Astyanax mexicanus: one gene and its partner. The protein of the gene in region 2 interacts with the protein of the main gene of each other region in a biochemical or structural test. Links are inferred from orthologs where the notes say so. Each region holds a gene or a part of one and is shown on either strand. Other genes may lie near its edges.

Region 1 (10,525 bases), on a different chromosome or scaffold from region 2:
ACCAAGCTGAAAAAAAAAAACAAGAGAAAAAAGGAGCAGGAAGAAAGACAGAGAGACTGAGTGAGACTGAGTGAACATATGGAACAAAGCACAGAAGCTTCCAGTGACTCGTTTCCACGCTCCAAAGACGACAACCTTATTCTTGATCACTGCAGGCAAGGCTGGCGTGCACAGAATGAAGCTTTTTATTCAGGCTTAAAAGAAGTCATAAATTTAACTAACGTATAAAGCCAATCACTTCAGCCAATCACATCTAATAAAAAAAGTTGACACACAATCTTCAATAACAAAATGTGTGTCAGATTGCGTAGGGCTAAATTACTAAACTCTGTGCTGAGGTATTTGTTAAAATAGATTTTCTTCATTGATAAACAGAAACACAAACTTTTGTAAAACAAATTTCCATGATTTTTCCAAAACTTATCCAGGCCTGGGAATTGCCATTTTTCAATTCTATGAGATTTCAAGTCAGTGTACTCAGTTTGGGAAAGCATTTGAATTGTGGTTCTGTCACTACAAATGCATTCTGACTGCACTGTGTGTATTGCAACCCATACAGTATTGTATCTTAAATATACATGACACTATTTTTATCATATGCCCAGTCATACTGTAGGCCTAGAGATTGCAAGAAAACTAAATTAGGTGAAGTGGCAGGGTAATAAAGCTACAGATCGTCAGTAAACAAGCTGGCACGATTTCTCTATGCCATAAACATTCTGTGAAAACTGATTAAGGAGTCTGTATTCAGAGCATTTTAAACAGATCATTTTACTGAGGTGCAGTAAAACACTTAATAGTCGAATTTGTCTTCATTTGCACACTCACTGTTAAAGTCTTTTAAAGTAAGTGAGTACTAAGTAGAATCATGTTCTTGCTAATCAAAGTTTGTAGCACCTGCAGGCTGGCCATGAAACCTGTTCAATACTGATGCAGGCTACTTTTCAGGAACGCAGAAACACCACTCCCATCTCAGGTTGCATGCATTATGTCTTCAATTCCTTTCATTTGGTGCTCTGACTATCATTTATTGGCTGACTGCACCATCTACCTCTCTGTTCATGCTGATAAAAGCACAAGAGCCAATTAATAGATTTGTATCAATGGTTTTGTATCATGTGTCATATTCTGATAGTTTAACTGTGTTTATTTTGACAGATAATATACATTTCTGAATATATTGTAAATACTGCAAGTATTAAAAGAGAACTACAGTGTGAAATGGACTTAGGTTGTAGTGAAACATGATACCGGGTACAAACTTTTGTCGAAAAGCCCACCTCTGCTCACCCCCAGCATTCCAAAATACAGCATTTTTTAAGACAATGCTCCCAATGCTCCCAGGTGGGTTATTTTACAAATGTTTGTACTCGTTATCATGTTTCACTACACCCCAAGTCCATTTCTCACCAGATTTCACCTTTAAAGAAAGTGTCTAACAGCATATTCTATTACAAAGAAAATGTTGTTGTTTTCACACAAAATGCTAACTGTCCAAAAAAGCAACTTTACACAAGAAAAAAAAATCTTCGGCTTCAAGTCAATGTAAAAAGACTTTATTCCAAGTCATTTTACAGCATTCTTATCACCTCATTCATCATGAAATTCTGATGAAATTTTAATGGAAAGAACAATTCTTAAGAGGTGCACTGTCAAAAAGTGAAAACCAGCAAAGAAAGAGAAGCAAGGTTTCTGTGCAACAAAGAGGATAAGTAATTTTTGTCTGATTATTGTGCACAAATCCTATAGTAAAAATAGGCCATAAGTCATTTTGAGTTAAGAAATTCTTTTTAACAAACTAAAACCTACTGAAACCAGTAACTGTAGAAAGTACATTGTTTTTTGTTGTTTTTTTTTTAAATGGGTCTGTGGAGCCTCAACACGAATTCCTCTACAAAGTTTTATTGGTGAGAATGTATTTTTGTCCACTTACCAGATTTCCCCACTTTTATAATTATCTTTGTCTACAAAACCTTTATTTGGAGGTGTGCAAATTCATTCTGTTGCAATCAGGTCTTTGTTATGAAGAGAAGGCTTTATATAAACCCTGTTAAACCTGTGATTGTTCTTGCTCTGCCACTGCCGTGGCTGATTAAGTACGCCAGCCGTCAGTTTTCTTTTTTTTCTTTTTACATTGCTTTATAATATTTTTTTAATTATAACACAAAGATTTTGTCAAAATCTCTAGCGCTCTAGAGAAGTTTATAGAGGCCTTTCGTTGTTATGTCTCAAAACAGACACAAATCAGAGGCATTGTGTGAAAGGGTCGTAAGCAACCAATGTTAAACTGACCTTTTTTTTTTGTTTGTTTTTTTATTCTAAATTGTTGATAAAAAAAATATGCTCTTGCTACATCATTAAAGCAAGCATTACTGCTTGAGAACACATTTAAAGCCCGATCTGGTTGTTCAGCTTAATGTTATATTTATTATGACGGAATATTAAATTAGGAAGATTTTCTTCTGAAACTTTACACTTAAGACAAGCTTTTAAAGTTCGGCACCTGACTATAATGTGTCTGTGTCCTGAAAAGGCCTAAATATAGGTCAGTTTGGCACAGAAAACCAGTAATAGGACTGGATGCTCTGTGTGGAATGTGAGAAAAACTGGCACTTACCATTCTTGATGAATGAATTTAATACTTCCAGTGCAGACACAGGGGTGGTAGAGGGGTTTGTCTAGAGTTCCCTCAGACCGACACACTCTACATATGTCAGCTGCAAAAAATAAAAAAATAAAAATAATTAATATAATTAATAATAATAATTAATAATAACTAATAATTAGTATCAGCAGGTCTACAACTTTTTTGCTGCAAAGTAACAAAACATACTGAACATGTCCGTTCATTTTTAAGGTATTAATTATGCAGGTCACAATAATTACATTATCAGCTCATCCTTTAATATATGGACATGACGTTAATCGTTTCTGCTGTCCTCCATATTGCCCATTTTTTGTTGCCAAGGATATAAATGATGGGTGTAATTGCATTGTTAGGCTATAATATCATTGTATAAATTGGTAGCATAACAATATCTTAAAATAACAATTAAATCATTCACCTCAATAATTTCCAGAACAATCTATTGTTAAAAAAAAATGTCATCTTAACATTAATCATTGTGGACATGATTGTCATGGCAACATTGTGGTTATAATAATTTAATGGATGTATTTTTTCTGGCTCTGAAAAAAATAAGAGCCCACTTTAAAAAAATATGCGTTTCTTTTTTTTTATTTCACAATTTTGAAAACCTCTGGAATAAAACCAGGAGAAAGACAGATGATAACAAGCAATCAAACCAAGCTGAACTGCTGGAATATTTGCACCAGGAGTGCAGGCATAAAGTTATTCAAAAGGAGTGTGAAAGACTGGCGGAGGAGAACATGCCAAGATGCATGAAAACTGTTATCATAAACCAGTTATTCCACCATATTGATTTCTGAACTCTTAAAACTAAACTTGTTTTCTTTGCATTATTTAAGGTCTGAAAATATTTCAACATCTTTTTCTTATTTCTGTCATTTCTCTTTTTTTTGCAAATAAATGGCAATATATATTTTATTTGGAATTTAGGAGAAATGTTGTCTGTAGTTTATAGAATACAACATGCTCATTTTACTCAAACATAAACCTATGAATAGCAAAAACAGAGAAACTGATTCAGAAACTGAAATTGTCTCTTGTTTTTTTCCAGAGCTGTGTTACTTAGAAAATTCATGAGTTAAAATGACTGAGTTATTACTACTGTACGAATTGTACACATACACATACACACACAAGTCTCCATTGGCTATTTGGGGTTAAATAGCCACAACAACTGCCAAATGTTTTTTTTTTTGTGTGTTTTATGAAAAACATTTGTTATTTTAGGAATGTTTCGATTCGCAAGTGTGTGTTAAAAGCGAATGTTTTGATCCCCAGTAAATGCTAGTTAGCTAACCCTAGTCCACATAATTCTGTTGTGCTACACCTGACACTACTTACTGAACTGTGAGTAATATACTCAACGTTTTCCAGTCATCGCTGCAGATTTCAGCGATTTTGAGGAACCAGAAATATACGTTAGCTAAGCTAACTAGCTTGTAAGTTAGCAGTGGTGGTAAAATAAAACTGCTGTGCTGAACCATTTAGTGCTTAACTAACCCACTTTCTGAGAAACCTCCAGAAAACAGAGCTCACCCGACTGACTCTAACAGTGCTAAAAGCTAGCTAACAGTCAATACACACTATAAATTGAATACCTCACTGCGTTAGCTTAGCTAACCTTGTTAGCTAACCAGTCTGTTTTAAAGAAAAACACAGCTCAAATATCAGTGCGGGGGTCTTTGTTGACTGAGTTCAGGGCGATGACATGTTTACTAGCAAAGCAAAGCTAGCATTAGCTAAGTAGCTAAATAGCTAGCGTTACGGTTCACAGCGCAGGGCCACATAGTCCAGTCTAACTTGGAAGCTATAAAGCTAGCATTAGCCAACCCAGCTAACCCAGCTACAGCTAACTAACAGCAGCCCGGCCTGAACGGCGGTGTTTGCGCCCCGTACTTCGGATCCATATTGAAACCCAGGCTAACCGCTCACATTAAACAGCCGTGCCCAGAGCCCGTCTAATTTTAGAGCCCAGTTAAAGCCCGTTAAAGGTCCGGAGCTTACCCTCTTCTCCAGTGTCCATCTTGTCGCTGGTCGTGACGCACTGTCCTCTTTACAGTCCGCTCATAACCCCGATCCGCTACAGCTGGAAAACAACAACAGCTTCCTAACGCCTCACCAACACACACATCTCCAGACCAGCCGCACACCGGACACCAGCTCCGCACACCGGACACAACCGCTCAGTTTAGTGTTAGCTAACTAACCCCCTTCAGACGCCCACAAAACCTGTGCTCGGTAAAATGTCAGTGAACTACATCTCCCATCAACCCCTGGAGCACAGCTCAGCACTGTTTCCGGCAGGACAGCGCACGAGGACAGAGGCTACGACAGATACTACACTCTGTGATGGATTACGGGTGTTTAATAGTGAACTATATAGGGGCTAGACTTTACCTCACTTTTGAAATCATTTAGAAAAATAAGAAATGTAAAAACTGTAAGAAGAACTGTAGGAATTTATAATGAGCTGTCACTGACCTTTTGTTAATGTATCCTATTTTTTTTTTTTTTTATTTAGGCCAATTGTGCTCTCTCAGGGCCCCTGCAGCCGATGGCAAGCTGCATGAATAGGATTCGAACCAGTGATCTCCCGATCAGAGTGGAAGAGCAGTTTTTTCCCATTGCATTGGAATTAGCTGTTACTTTGCCCCAATGACTCTAGTACTACTGGTTTTCCAGTAGTAGGCAGGCCAAGTTACTGTTTCATTGGTTTATAAACGTGTTCCTTGGTTGGCATGGTCTTTTCCTTTGAACAACTCTCAAACAGTGTTATGTTTTTTATAAAAAAAGAAAATACATGATGTCCATTGTAATGGATGCAGGGTGTGAAAGGGTTAATTGTGGATGTTTAAACTCCTGCTCATTGCAGAGAAAATACTACATTTCTAAAATGTTACAAAATGCCAATCAGATAAAAGTGAAAGCCTTGTGTGTTACTTATTTTATGTATTTTTATTTGCTTATAAGAAGTGATTATCTATGTTCTACTAACCTTTGGGATTTGTATTATTTGGGAGTTGTACTATTTTTACAGAATGTATTACAAAATAAAATAAATGAATGAATTTATTAATAAAAAATGTGCGCTTGTGTGCTCTGTGGGCGTGGCCAATGTGATGTCACTCTAAAATCCCTAAAAGACTTCCTGGGTAGGATACTTTGGTGTATTCTCTGTTGGAAAAAGCTGCAGGGAGATTTGAAGCCCTTCTTTCATCTGCTCCAGTATTCAGACAGACGACAAGATGACTAAACAAAATCAGTCTCTGGGTCATAGAGGAAAGGAGGAGGATCAGTAGGAAAAAGTAGAAGTTTCTGTAAACAGCCATGAAATAAAATGTACTGATTAAATTTTAAATTGGACCACAATATGGCTTACATACCATATAATGCACTATTTCTATATATAATGAGGAGGTTATATATAATGGAACAGAGTTACAAATGAAAGGGGTGAAATTCTCCCCCCAAGAATTGGGACAACCATTCATTCAAGAAGGTGACCTCTGGCTTGAATAATTTTACCATGTTCTTTCATAGTCAGGAGCCCCCCAAGGCTGTGTATATGTGTTAATGTGTGTCGTGCTTATGAGTGAATCAGAGAGAGAAGCGCCCAAAATATACTATATGGTGGCACAGTATTTGGGCAAAGAAGCCATTACTTACATGATCAAAGACAGTTAAATAGAGCAAATGGAGTGTTTGAAGTTTTCAGAACTATTATGTGCTACTGAATATATAAAATGCATAGAAGATAAACTGTAATATCATACAATATAGTGCTTAAGTGGTGCACGGTTGGGGCATTAAACCCTATATTGGTGCATTTAATTCCAGCATAATTAGTCTCTAGTTTGACAATAGATAATACAAAGGAAAGATGGACTCACTTTTGTATAGATAATCTTTTCTTATTTAATTGTGTGTAATAAAACTATTAACATTGAATTGTTAACTTAACATAATAAACAGGAATCCTCCTCCAGCCCATTTACTGTAATAGACAGTACATTCAGTGCAAAGTGCATCATTGAGGGAGAGTCTTGCTGTCTTCAGGGTTGTTCAGCGGCTTTGCTGTTGTCACTTGAGATTTGAATGTCTTAGCATCATACACCCACACAGTGTCAATTCCTTCTCCAGCCATGTGGTCAGGAGTCCATGTGGGGAACGGGAAGCGGCAGGCCACGACTTTGGCTGAGGTCTGAAGCTCTGACTGCAGTTTGGCTTCTAGTTGTTCCATCTGTGGAGTGAATATTTATAACTTCATTTAGAACATGTACTTGACACAAATGGACAAATCCTCAATGGTCTGTGCTGCAGTATCACAGTAAAACTCCACGATTGCAGCACAGTACCCATAAGGATTTTCTTTCTGTATATTTTATTTTGGAAACAGGAAATTAATGACTTGAATTTAAAAACACAGATTCCACCGCAGTGATATAATTGTAAAGACATAGCAAAGGCTTATAAAAGTGAGGCTTAGTCAGGTAAACAATACCTGAGATCTTTACATTTAGATAAAGATCTGAGAACTGAGATCTGAAAAACTGAGAATGTTGAGCATCTGTCAATACACACTATAAACTAATGACTTTTCTTTTGCTTTGTGTAATATCTGTTAACTAATCCTTTCATAGCACTGTACACTAGGGCTATAAAAAATATTGACATATCATGATTATGTATTGCAACTGTATAGATTCTCAAAAATACAGCACACATTTTCAATTAAAAGTTCACACGTATTGTGTTTGAACACTGAACAGTAGAGGGCAGTGCTTTCTCAATTTCACTATTCTGATTGGATTAAAGTAAACATTTTCTTAACTCAGTCAAAGAACTAAATTGACTGTATAGCTCATGTTCATGCAAAAGCTTTACACTGCATTTAAAGGGAAATGTAATTATTTTATTACAAATTGAAAGATTTTTATGTCGCCTTCTCTAAATGTCTCTAACTGATGTAGATTGTGGCACCCACTCTAAATCACTGAACATAGGCCAAATAAGATCCCCCCAAAAAATATCACAAATCTGTCAATGTATTAGACCGGATTGAGATATAAAAATGTGTGTATTCTTACCATTTGGGGAACTCCAAATATGACCACATTAGAGTACTGTGAAAAACTGACCTATAAAAGAAAAAAAAGAGACAACAATAAGAAAGAATAGAAAAGGAAACATTATATTTTATGTGTACGCTAAAGGTATTGAGAAGTACTGTAAGGTACTGTCAGAAAAACAGAGTATTAACAAACTCTCAGTTATTCTTCAATGACAAATACGTTTTTTAAAATGACCTACTCAGACCTTTTAATTGTTTGGGGTGATGTCTCTGATCAATCAAAAATAGAAAGGTACACAATGCAACAATTGCCATGACCCTTTAGAGACACATATTTAAAGTCTTTGCTATCTCCAACCTTAACAATCTTACAATGATTTGCAGCTGGCCTCCAATGCACTTTAACATGAAGATTAAAGGAGAACTCTAGTGTAAAATGGACTTTTGGTGTAGCAACACATGATAAAAAGCACTTACCTTTGATGAATAGCACAACTCCATTCTCCCACAGCGTTCCGAGATCCAAACACCCTGACATGGAGCATAATTTACCCCGATAACTTGCTTTTTCCACAGTTATCCAGGCTCAAAATAGCTCCACACCCCTTTGCTAAAATCCAGAGAGCCCTAACATTTAAAACGAGGCATTAATAACTTAAAAAGTGCAAAAGGTGCTTATTAAGACCACTGTTTACATCTAGCTTTAGCTCCGTGCGCCACTACCACTCTACTAATAATAACACAGACATATATATACATAGACTCCGCATAGCGTAGCGGCCGGCATCTATGTATATGTCTGTGTATAATCTATGTCTGTCATTATCAATACAAAGATGGCAGTGCACGGAGCTGAAGCTAGATGTAAACAGTGGTCTTAATAATTTAATGGTTTTTAATAAGCTTCTTCTGCACTTTTTAAGTTACTAATGCCTCTTTTTAAATGTCAGGGCTCTCTGCATTCTAGCAAGAAGGTGTGGAGCTACTTTGAGCCTGGATAACGGTGGAAAAGGCGATTTATCGGGGCAAGTTATCCCCCGTGTCACCCAGTCTCAAGGGTGTTTGGACAAATTGTTAAAATTTCTGGATCTCGGAACGCTGTGGGAGAACGGAGGTGTGCTCTTCATACAAGGTCAGTACTTGTTATCTTGTTTTACTACAGCAAAAGTCCATTTTACACCGGAGTTTTCCTTTAAGTAAGGGGGTTGTTACTGTTGACTTTATATTTAATTGCTCTATTGTATATGCACATCAGGAGCACAAACTGTTCAGATGAATGTCAGATATAGATAAGATTAAAATAGTCTGCCTAAAGAAATGAAACTAGGTGAGAAAACCAGATGTGGAGCACTTTATATGATGTGTATGAGGTAAAAGTGTATGTAACGCTGTAAATATATACAAAATGTATAGAGTTTAAAGATTTTGTTTGAGGAGGTCTAGGGTAACCAGTTCTGAAACTGTTTGTGTGAGTGCAATCCTATTGCTTACTTTCCACAGGTCTGATAAATAAAAAGAGGTGCGGTGATGAACTCCCTCCCTCCAAGCTCTGTAACGAGAGTACAACACCAGCCACGGATTCAGCTCAAAGCCAACTGCCCTGAAACCCTCTTTTGCTGCAGCTATAACCTGTTGGGGACAAGATAAGTAGAGAAGTAGCTGGTAAGAAATAAACCAAGCATTTTCAGTGTTTAAGTAATCTTTTTTTTTTTCGTTTTCAATGCAATAACAAAAAATAAATAGTGGTTTAACATAAACAATATAATTAAGACACTACGTTGGATTTATTTTACAGTCTCAGTTCTGGTCTATTTGTTTTTATTGGACATGTTTAGTTATATTACCCTTCTAGTAAAGAACAGTAATAGTTAGGTCAGGGAGGGGATTGGTAGGAAAAACACTTTTTTTTGGATAGATACATGCAGGTACAAGTAATAGTCCACACACATATCCAGAGATTTTTAAAAACAGTATAATCTGCAGCATTAAGCATAAGTTTTGTTTATTACAGCATCTTACCTTCACTTTTAATTTAATAAAAACATGCACACCGTAAAATACAGTAACTTAAGGTTACATAAAAAATAGGATATGTATGGAATGGTTTAATAACCAAAAGATGATTTGTCGCCTGAGGGACAACATTTATGCCATAGAGGGTTAACAGATGATAATTAATCCAAAGAAGTGTGTGGTATTATCTCGTCACTATTTCCTCTCTTTACTCCTGTTTCTCCAGTTTTATTGTTTACATTTTCCAAATAGTATAATAATTTCACTGTAACGTGTAAGCTTGCAACAAGATTTAAGATAATAGAAAAATGTATAAGCGGCCAAATATCCTTCTTTACATATTCTTCCACATGTGCATGTTTTTATTTTTGACCCCCTTGTATGCCTTGTTGTACTGGATGCAGATATTTCTTGTATACATAAATAACTATAAATATTTAAATGTTCCCAATATTACCCTGGCTTAGCGCTTAGTGGCTCAGGATTCGTCAGTGTTACGCTGTTGGGCAGCACTATGTCTGTCATTATCAATACAAAGATGGCAGCGCACGGAGCTAAAGCTAGATATAAACAGCGTTTTTTAATAAAGTTATTGTGCAGTTTTTAAGTTATTAATGCCTCATATTAAATGTCAGGACTCTCTGGATTCTAGCAAGAAGGTGTGGAGCTACTTTGAGCCTGGAGGGGTGAAATAAGCGCTTTATCAGGGCCAATTACCCCCGTGTCATGCAGTCTGAAGTGTGTTTGGACAAACTGTTAATTATCTGGATCTCGGAACGCTGTGGGAGAAC
Region 2 (10,061 bases):
TGCAGAGCTTTCACACCTTAAATAATGCAAAGAAAACAAGTTCATAAAGTTTTAAGAGTTCAGAAATCAATATTTGGTGGAATAACTTGTTTTTAATCACACTTTTAATGCATCTGGGCATGTTCTTGACTAGTCTTCCCACTGCTTTTGCACTTCTGGTGCAAATATTTAAGCAGGTTATCTTAATCCCGATGAGAATCTTTGGGATGTGCTGAAGAAAGCTTTGTGCAGCCAACAGACACTACCATTACAAATGCAAGATCTTAGTAAAAAAAGTATGCAGCACTGGTAAAGTAACCCTCATTAGAAGAACACTTCTTACCCATTGATATATCTACTACAATGTAAGAGACAGTCTGAAATCAGGGACTCGAGATGTTTACGAATCACAGTTAACTTTATTGTCGTATCTCTCCTCCACTGCAGAGGAACTCAAACAATCACTTCAAATCTTGTCAAATAAATCTCTCACCGTTTCATATCCCGTTTCCTTCTGCTTGTCATAAGAATATAGATTTAATCATTTTAATATGAAGCACTGAAACATGCACCACAGCATTCAGACAGCAGACTGGACAACATCCACTGTTTCAATGGAAACCAAGAAACAGCATTTCAATCCTTTAGTCCAGAAAGGAGCAGAAATGCTGCACTGAGAGAAAGTCCACTGATGTAGGAGGTGTAATTTATCTTTAACATCCATCTGTCCATCCATCCATCAGTATCAGTGAGAGAGGACAGACACAGATAAAGTGCTCAGTGTGATGAAGGAGGTTATGGAGAAGTTTGTGTATGTGTTTGTGTATATGTGTGTGTGTGTGTGTGTGTGTGTGTGTGATAGAGATTAGAGGCCCAGGGATTTGCGGACTATCTGTTTGGCCAATCGGTTGAACTGCTCTCTGTCCTCTCGCCACATCTTGGAAGCATCCACATTTGCTCCACTCTCATCATTTGGTTCTGAAAAGTAAGAAAAAGGAATAGCACCATTACCAACACTTCCATTAGTCAGCACACAGTTAGCCAGAATCAGAGTCGGATTATGGAGAGCCTGCCAACTTCCCATCTCCCCAGTTATATTAAAAAATGACTGCGAAACACTAGAGGCAGCCTGCTAGTAATCCCTCAATTAATGGGGGTAAATGGAGCTAAACTACTGGGATTCAAACTAGTGTTCTCGCAATCATAGTGGTAGCGTCCCAATGTTGTAAAACAAATCAATTAGTAAGTGCGTGGTGTTTCAGGGACAGATTTGTTCACACTGTTTACATCGTTCCCAAATAAAGGTCAATTAAGTGTGTGTGTGCATACCTGCAAGCATGCTGACCACAGACAGAAGGATTTTTTCAACACTCTGTACCGGACTCCATCTCTCAGCGCTGCTTTCATACCCCATTGGGTCGTCTCCCGGAGCATGCAGAATAGAGATACACACTCGGCCATCTGGATAAACTACACACACAATCAAACAGAAATTGTTTTAGTGAGAACGGTATCCAGTTCTTGTTAAAAACAAACTTCTAATCAGAAGCTGGGTGGATCTTCAGACCTAAAGTATTCATTCAAATCATGTGTCAGTAAACTCTTGCTGGTACCTGTAAATAACACTCAATAAAGTGGTATTTACTATTTGAAACTCTTTATGTTTTCTGTATGTTATGGCAAGTCCTTAAATGAAGACTTAATATGAATGAATTTTGTTTAATATTTTATAGTGTATTTAGACCACTTCATGTCTTGCTTTGAGAAATAATACTGATCTCCATGTTTTGCAGGAAAATCTTCCCCAAAACACACAAAAGTTGTATTTAATAGTTAACCATCTGTCTATATAACCTTTCAATTAACACGAAAACACTGCATGTTTTTCTAATCAGTTAAAGAATAGAATGAGGGATAAACTTACTGTTGGGGTGGAACATATCACAGGTGAATTTCATCTTGGGAGGACTGAGAGGGTAGTCTGATGGAAAGCTAAGAACAGCCGGGAAAACACCTCCTTCAAAACACGTGTCCTCAGGACCCCTAAAAGAGACAAATGATAATAATAAACTCTCTGCTTGCACTTATTTTTACAGATATATACCTTACTCTCATCATTATCAACACCACTAAAGTAAAAGATAAACAGAGCTGATGATTCCTCTTTCTTCTAGGCCTTGTCAACACATTTCTGAATATTTTTAAAAACAAAAACATCACTTATAAAATCTCTCCACGAACGAAAAACCCACTCCAAAACATGCATATGAGCAGGGCAGCCGAGCAGGGGGAAATAATATCTTATGGAAAATCATAAAAGTCAAACAGCTTAATGTTCTGACCAAACACATGCAAATAAAATACCTTATATTTTTTTTAAAAGACTTTATATTGTCACTTTTTTTTTAAACGTTTTCTTTCACTCTGAGACAAAAAGGCTTGCATAAGCATGCTAACGCTGCATAAGGTGATAGAGACCTCAAAACACCACAAAGAAAAATTTAAACACAGTTTATTCCCAAATTATACATTGTTAGGATTATGAAGGATCAATGGACAATTGTATTGTTTACCCCAGTTATGTTTGGGTTTAGTTAATATATCGTCCCAAGAAAATGTTATTGTGACAGACATATAGGGAGCAAGGCAGCATTTGTGATTTAGCCAGACACATTTATTTTATGAAGTTTAATTTTCCCTTTTAAATGACAAAAAGGTTTAAAAAATCTCCACCCTAGAAAGCATTTTTAAATTACAAACAGCACATTATTGTAGATAAATGAGATCAAAACACATAAAAAACGTTCTTGTTAATATCTGTATATGTTCAGGGGCAAGAAAAAGCATATTGTCCAGAACTCAGAAAGTCAGAGTGGACTAAATAAGGGTGCAGCTCAATAAACATAGCCCGATTAAACCTAAAAGGGAGGGAAGGCAGCTCTATTACAGATTTGTTTATGTGCCATGCCGATGCATTAGTCTCCAGAACAGTCAGACTTTATTAGTATAGTGTATGTACTTCACTCCTTCTGCCCATGAATAAAGATGATGTCAAACAAGTCAATATTTAGTATCTGCAGTGGAGCCAGCCCCCCAACTGAACAAGCTAAAGCAGCATGAGAAAATAGACTCACATGATCAGCGCCTCCCATTCAAAGAAGTTCTCCTCATTTACAGGACCTGCAACACACACACAGAGACACACTTCAGCTACTGTTTGCTGGTTCTGTCCGTTCCTATATGTATGTAAAGCTGCAGGTGTCTGTTTACCTGCAACGATTCCCTCTGGAGGATTCAGGGTCAGCTCTGATGAAAGAACACGAACACACACACACACACACTTAAATATACAATCAGAGACAAACCCACATCATCTAATATCTAATATCATTATCAATAATATCAAGAAGATCATTTCAACAAGAAAATTATGAAATTATATATAGCTTTAATAACTAGCTACCTAACTTAACCTATCTATGTAGGTTTGCTATTTAGCTGGAATAATAATAAACAATGGCCAGCTAGCCAATAAAATAAAAACAGTTTCCACTAAAACGTGTTTCAGCTTAGTTTACGCTTCATTTAAGGTCTTATTAAACGTCCGGAAATATTTATTTCTAATATTAAACATTAACTCGGGTCAGTTTAACAATAATAATAATCAGCTCAAGCTGGCGTTAGCTAACCCTGCTAAAGCTAGTTAGTAACTGGGGGAGTAGCACTGCCAGCTAATGGCTCAGCGGCTAGTCGCTGCTAGCTCCCTGATAAAACCGCAACAGGCCGCGCTTATTTAACTCTCTACCGGGAATCAATAACGTGTTTCCTTACGTTTATATTCAGCCATTAATCTTTTTAGAGCAGTTCCTGCCATCACGGCCCGTTCTCTGTGTGCAGCCCAGTCCACTCACATCTGCAGTACCAGCGCTCACTCACAGGGGGCGCCACCCCATCACAGAGCACCACCGACATCTGCGCAGTCTGACTGACAAAGAGTACAAAATAAAAGCCCCAGAGCGTATCTTGCTTTACATTTTGTGCTCATCTCACTCAAATCTCACCTGCTTGCAATCATATTTTTTTTTTGCAGAAATATTATTTATTAATTAAACACAGACAATGTATTGTCTTAGTTTATCCAGAGCGCTAAAGTTGATTTCAGCATGCATGTAGGTTGCAAAAAATATAAATAGATAAAAACACATACATTAAGATCATTCAATTCATATAATAAACACCGGTTAACTGTTTAAAGTCACCTTTAAATTTCATAAGATAACCATTAGTCAGTGTCTAGAATCAGTCACAGCTCGCTGTTATGATCTTTAACACTACGATAACATGATTACTAGCCGTTTTATGCATCATTTTATGTTATTTTTAATGCATTATTTAATGTAAGACTTTTATTATGTAATTTAATAGAACGATATCGATGGTCGCAGCGCCGCCTGTAGCGCGTTCTGTCGGGCAGAGCAGTAACAACAGCGCTGCCTCCATGGCAACAGTGGCGGAGTTAAAGTCCGGTAAGTTTTGTTTAAATCTGGGTGAATAATCAGGCTATTAACGATTAATTAGATAGTGTAATGTATTGCACAGATGTATTTTAAGATCGAGCATTTGCACTTCGGTATCTGAAGGACAGCAGCAGCTTGGCTACTAGGAAACAAAACACCAAACTGGAGTTGAATGTTCCGTTCCACCTTAAATTTGGTAGCTGTAACAGTAGGAACGTCTCTGGCGCCAGATTAGAGCTACGGCGCCGTTTAAGGTGGAATTGAAAGTACGAATACACACAAACTTCTGTTTTGACATTTAAGCGTGTTTGTTGAGCTTTGTTTAATTATGTTCTGTCATGTGTTTCTGTTGCAGCTCTGCGGGAGGCACTGGAGGCGCGGGGTGTTTTGGGGCAGCTGAAGGCCCGGATCCGATCTGAAGTCTTTCGGGCACTGGATGACCAGAGTGAGGAGCGACCCCCCTTGACCCATGAGAACTTGCTGATTAATGAACTGATCCGTGAATACCTGGAGTTCAATAAGTACCGATACACGGCATCTGTTCTAATCGCTGGTGAGCTGAGGAGGGGTGCTGTACTCAATTTTATTTCTCGTTTGGTTAATAATAAAGGCTGGGTGATAAAACAGTAATTTCACGTCATGGTCTTTGCATCACAACACATGTTACAAGCAAGGTTATGTGGTACTTTATTTTCGAAAGGATTTGGGAAATTATGAAGATTCTTACTTCCTCTGCCCATTTCCCAGTCCTATTTCCACACCTCAAGTTGCCAGGTATGGAACACATTAGCAGGCAAACACAGTGTGCTGCTGCAGATGGGTTATCAAGGCAGTGAGAATTTGAGACAGGTAAAGTGTAAATGGTAACTGCATTTAGTCACAGTGGAGGACCAGACAGGCCTTAGATGTTTAATACATCAGTAGCAACCGCATGACCGAATTATATTGACTAACTTTAGCAACAAATAGAAACCTAATTTGCCATTGCAGATGTTTTTGTACTTGTTTTGCACTCTGATCGGCATCCTTAACCAGGCATCTGTCTGGGGCCTTTTTACACTTCTATATATTTAGCACATATTGTTCCTTTAACTGAGTATTTATTGTTGTAATATATCTGAGAAACTACCCCAGTGCAGTAATTAAAATCAGTAGATAACATGATCAGATCTCACAGCCTCAGGTCTGCAGTTTCATCACTCATAGTGTCAACATTAAAAAACATTTTAAAGTACTAAAAGTGTTGAGTGTGTTTCAGAGTCAGGTCAGCCTGAGGTTCCTCTGGACCGGCGGTTCTTGGCAAGTGAGCTGAATGTTGTAGAAGAGCCGAGTGCTGCAGCAGTGTAAGTATTCACACTCATTTACACAATGCACCTGTCCCCTTACTACAGAGCTCTCCACAGTTTTCATATTAAATTTAGTAAAATGTTCTGGGAATCATTTTGCCAGAGCCTTTGCAGGAGAATCAGGTTTTTAAATCCATCACTTTTTTACCGCTCATTTCTGGGTGTAAAACAGCTGTAATATTCCAGCTTCTGTGCAGTTCAGTCATACCTTTAGACTGATGCAGTTTAACTCCTTCAGCTTCTTCAGAACTTCTTTATATGACTGTGTTTCTGTTTGTTTTTCAGTCCTCTGCTATATAGCCTGCTCTCACACTTCCTCAGCAGTGCAGACAGCGGAAAACTTTTCCTGAGGAACCCTCCGAACCCCCAACAACACCCCCAACAAGCCAATAAGGGTGACGGAGAGAGTTTATAAGCTCTCAAGGGATCAGATCAGATTATTCAATTACTGTTTACATGTTAAAGTGCCCAAACAGCTCATTTTAATGTGTTTTTGCCTTGAGTACAAGTTAAATGTTGTGTGTAACAGGCAATTTAAGAGTGTGTGCAGGTAATGAGATGTTTATTAGTGTAAAATATTAATATTAATTCTCATGCATTGTCTGTTTTAATGCTGTTTTATATTTTCTCGTATTAAACCTTCTTTGTTGCACAGTAATATTGTCTCCGACTGTCTGTAATTCATGTGCTGACCACCGGGGGAGCACACAGCTGAAAGATTTTGGCTGTTCAAATGATTTACACAAATCCACATGAATTGATCATAATTCATTTTTTATTTTAATTTACTGCCTGGAAAGTTTTGATCCACGTTCCAAATGAGTCCTCTACAGGAGCTGTTTTAATCCTGTTGGGAACATTCTGTTCTTTTGTTTTATTTAGTACTGAAATTAGTCCTGTACTGACATTCGACCTCTAACCTGCTCTAATACACCAGCGGATCATGATCATTGAGTGGAAGTAGGAATCAACTGTTCTACAACATCTCCCAAACAAGCTTAAATCTGTGCAAATGTATTATCTTACTAATTTAATGTAAATAATGTCATTTAATTATCCCCCTTTAAATTGAAATTGAACACACACACATATATATATATATATATACACTCACTAGTATTTGATTATGAAGTAGGTATATATAAGTGTTAAAGCGGGGAAATACTCATATATGCGAAATATGTACTTAATCCTGTCATTTTCTGAGTGTGGTTACAAAGCACAATGCAATGCAAAACAGGGAGTAAGGAACTATTCAGATACTGGCTGTTTCTGTCAGTTTAGAAATGCTTTAAACTTTAAAATGATTCTGAGGCAGGAAGGCACCATATCAATTATGAATCAAAGTTTACTAATCTTGCCTTGCATTTTCTTGAACAAAATGTTAATAGTAAATGAGAACACGGCATTCATAATCATTTATTGAGCTGGCAATACCTTGGTAGATGTGCCACCCCTCAGCAACTAGCAGGATTCTCCAGCATACAGATGACTGCTCCCTTACGCCTGCAAATCATACAGTATATAATATACAATTATCTGAAATTGATACTTTATTTGTTATTTGTGCCTTTGCTTGTGCTCAGTAAAAATCAGTTAGCAGGTTTAGGAGAGTTACTTGAAAATGTACTGTAAGTTGTTATAGGCTACAGGTTACTGTTAAAAATGTAATGTAAATGTAAATGTCTTTTGACATTTCAATCTATTTATTTTCTTTTACACTAAGCTTAATATTCTCCACCTAAAGGGGTCATTATCACTCAACTAGCTCCTGTGTGTCATTAAAAACATGAAAAGAATAAAAACGAAAGCAAAACCACAACCTCCTGTAGTATGTGCTAACCTGAACCCCCCTAACACTGACCAGAAATAAGCTTCCCTGTTAACTGTGTAAAAATGCCCAAACTGCTGAAAATAGATCCTATTACATTGCCTGGTCAAAAACAGTCGCCACCAAAAAAAAGGTCACACACTCTAATATTTTGACCGCCATTAGCTTTGATTGCGGCACTCATTCGCTGTGGCATTGTTTTGATAAGCTTCTGAACTGTTTCAATCCAGCGTTGCATTTAGTTTACACCATTAAAGATGGTAGAGTTTGACCACTGCGCAAAGCCTTCTCCAGCACATCCCAAAGATTCTCAATGGGGTTAAGGTCTGGACTCTATGGTGAACAATCCATGTGTGAAAATGATGATCTCATGCTCCCTGAACCACTTTTTCACAATTCCAGCCCGATAAATCCTGACATTGTCATCTTGAAATATACTGATGGAATAACCTGGTCTATATTCAGTATATTCAGGTAGTCAGCTGACATCATTCTTTCAGCACATACTGTTGCTAAACCTATACTTGATCAACTGCAGCACCGCCAGATCATTTGCTTACTTAAATCCAAGTGCCGACTTTTTTTTTTGGTCAGGCAGTGTACATGGCAAACACTGCTTACATATTCTGAAATCAGAGACAGGTAGGTTCCGAAAATATATTTCATTTTAATTGCTAACACAGCTATCTGCTAACTGGTCTCATAAACTGAACACCAGAATAATGTCAGGAATCACAGCTGTGATTTATTTACATCACTGCCCTGACTTGTGAGACAGTGAGGCATTGAAAAAGCCGCTCAGTTTTGGACACAGCCTAGTATTAGTGCTGCGGTAATTAGCACTGTAGCATGACTGAAAGAGAGGGAATAGTGAAAGTGGTGTATGTTCATCAGTGTCAGTGAAGACATGAACACTAATAAAACTTGCGGTAATTAGTTGTTGTACAATGTGACATCCATTACAGGCAGGCCCAGTTTTCTTCTAAGGATTGACCAGGTGCTGTCATCCACTTCCCTTAATTGGTCTTGGTTCTGGCTGAGCGCAGTTAGTGTGTGTGTGTGTGTGTGTATTGCAGGTTTGTAAACATAGCACAGATATGTTTCTGCGCGGTCCTGTTAGTTGTAACAATGCCATTAGTGCTGCAGAAGCTGAACCATATTTAGTCACTTGGTCTTTCCTTTAAACACAGAATGCAGACGGGATTCCAGCCGGACCCCACTGACCTTATATGGCACACCACACGTCCAACAGTACATCTTCCTCTCTCTCTCTCTCTCTCTCTTTCTCCCTTACTACTCTACTCTTACTCTCCTTTCATTCTTTTAATCCACCAGGCCACCGAACACTTTCTAGGAAAACAGTAAAACATTACTTTGGAAACATGCAGGCAAGGGCCATCAACTGCACCCACAAAATACAGCAGTTTACTCTCGTCTTTTCATCTTATAGCAGTTAACTATTGTCTATTTAACCTACAGCAGGTCTTGTCTACTCGGCCTACAGCAGTTTAGTCTTGTCTACTTAGCTTATAGCAGTTTAGTCTTGTCTACTTAGCTTATAGCAGTTTAGTCTTGTCTATTCACTCTACAGTAGTTTAGTCTTGTCTATTCAGCTTATAGCAGTTAACTCTTGTCTTTTTAGTCTACAGCAGTTTACTCTTGTCTATTCAGCTTATAGCAGTTAACTCTTGTCTTTTTAGTCTACAGCAGTTTACTCTCGTCTATTCATCTTATAGCAGTTAACTCTTGTCTATTTAGCCTATAACAGGTCTTGTCTATTCAGCCTACAGCAGTGTAATCTGGTCTACTCAGCCTACAGCAGTTTAGTCTTCCAATATTTAGCAATATTTTATAGCACACCAGCATAAGTGTGTGCATATATGCATACATTTCATTATTTTAATATTTTTAGAGGAATTGGAGATTGATACTAAAGTCATCCAACCTGTAAAGATTTATTAAATGTATTACATTATTTAATAAGTAAGAAAGTGCTAAACAAAACAGAATGTTTTATATTTTAAATTCTTCAAAGTGGGCACCTCATTCTTAGATGACAGCTTTACACAACATGACTTTTTTATATTAATATCTTACCCTCTTAATGCGTTTGAGACCAACAGTGGTGTTGTGAAGAGGTAGAGTGGCCCTATTTGAGTAATGTTTAAATTTTATGGCAAGATCAACTTAAAACGTAAAAATCTCAAGAACTTTGAAATTATCCTCAAGTGCAGTTGCAAAGACCATCCAAACATTATGATAAAACTGGACCTCTCTCATCAGGACCACCACAGGAAAGGAAGACCAAGAGTTATCTCTGTTGCAAAGGATAAGTTTATTAGAGTTCCCAGCTTTAGAAACCCCAAGTGAACAGCACCACACATGCTT

The links.
Region 1: the proteins of ube2g2 (region 2) and marchf6 form a complex in vitro, tested with the Homo sapiens proteins (2 studies listed by BioGRID). The link is inferred for Astyanax mexicanus from reciprocal best matches to the Homo sapiens genes UBE2G2 and MARCHF6.

The regions. Positions count from the first base shown.
Region 1 is NC_064415.1:39,737,194-39,747,718, reverse strand, and holds the start of marchf6 (E3 ubiquitin-protein ligase MARCH6), read right to left. Parts: upstream 4,931-10,525; 5' UTR 4,674-4,930; coding exon 4,655-4,673; intron 2,718-4,654; coding exon 2,618-2,717; intron 7-2,617; coding exon 1-6. Other genes in the region: atpsckmt (ATP synthase subunit C lysine N-methyltransferase), read right to left, coding at 6,678-6,890, 7,738-7,788, 9,213-9,350. UniProt on the Homo sapiens protein: Endoplasmic reticulum membrane-associated E3 ubiquitin ligase that plays a critical role in mitigating endoplasmic reticulum stress, the regulation of cholesterol and lipid homeostasis, and ferroptosis.
Region 2 is NC_064412.1:25,902,933-25,912,993, forward strand, and holds ube2g2 (ubiquitin-conjugating enzyme E2 G2), read right to left. Parts: upstream 3,955-10,061; 5' UTR 3,854-3,954; coding exon 3,811-3,853; intron 3,286-3,810; coding exon 3,250-3,285; intron 3,160-3,249; coding exon 3,114-3,159; intron 2,023-3,113; coding exon 1,904-2,022; intron 1,450-1,903; coding exon 1,309-1,449; intron 958-1,308; coding exon 845-957; 3' UTR 379-844; downstream 1-378. Other genes in the region: cep20 (lisH domain-containing protein FOPNL), read left to right, coding at 4,415-4,505, 4,852-5,049, 5,755-5,839, 6,128-6,257. UniProt on the Homo sapiens protein: Accepts ubiquitin from the E1 complex and catalyzes its covalent attachment to other proteins. In vitro catalyzes 'Lys-48'-linked polyubiquitination. Involved in endoplasmic reticulum-associated degradation (ERAD).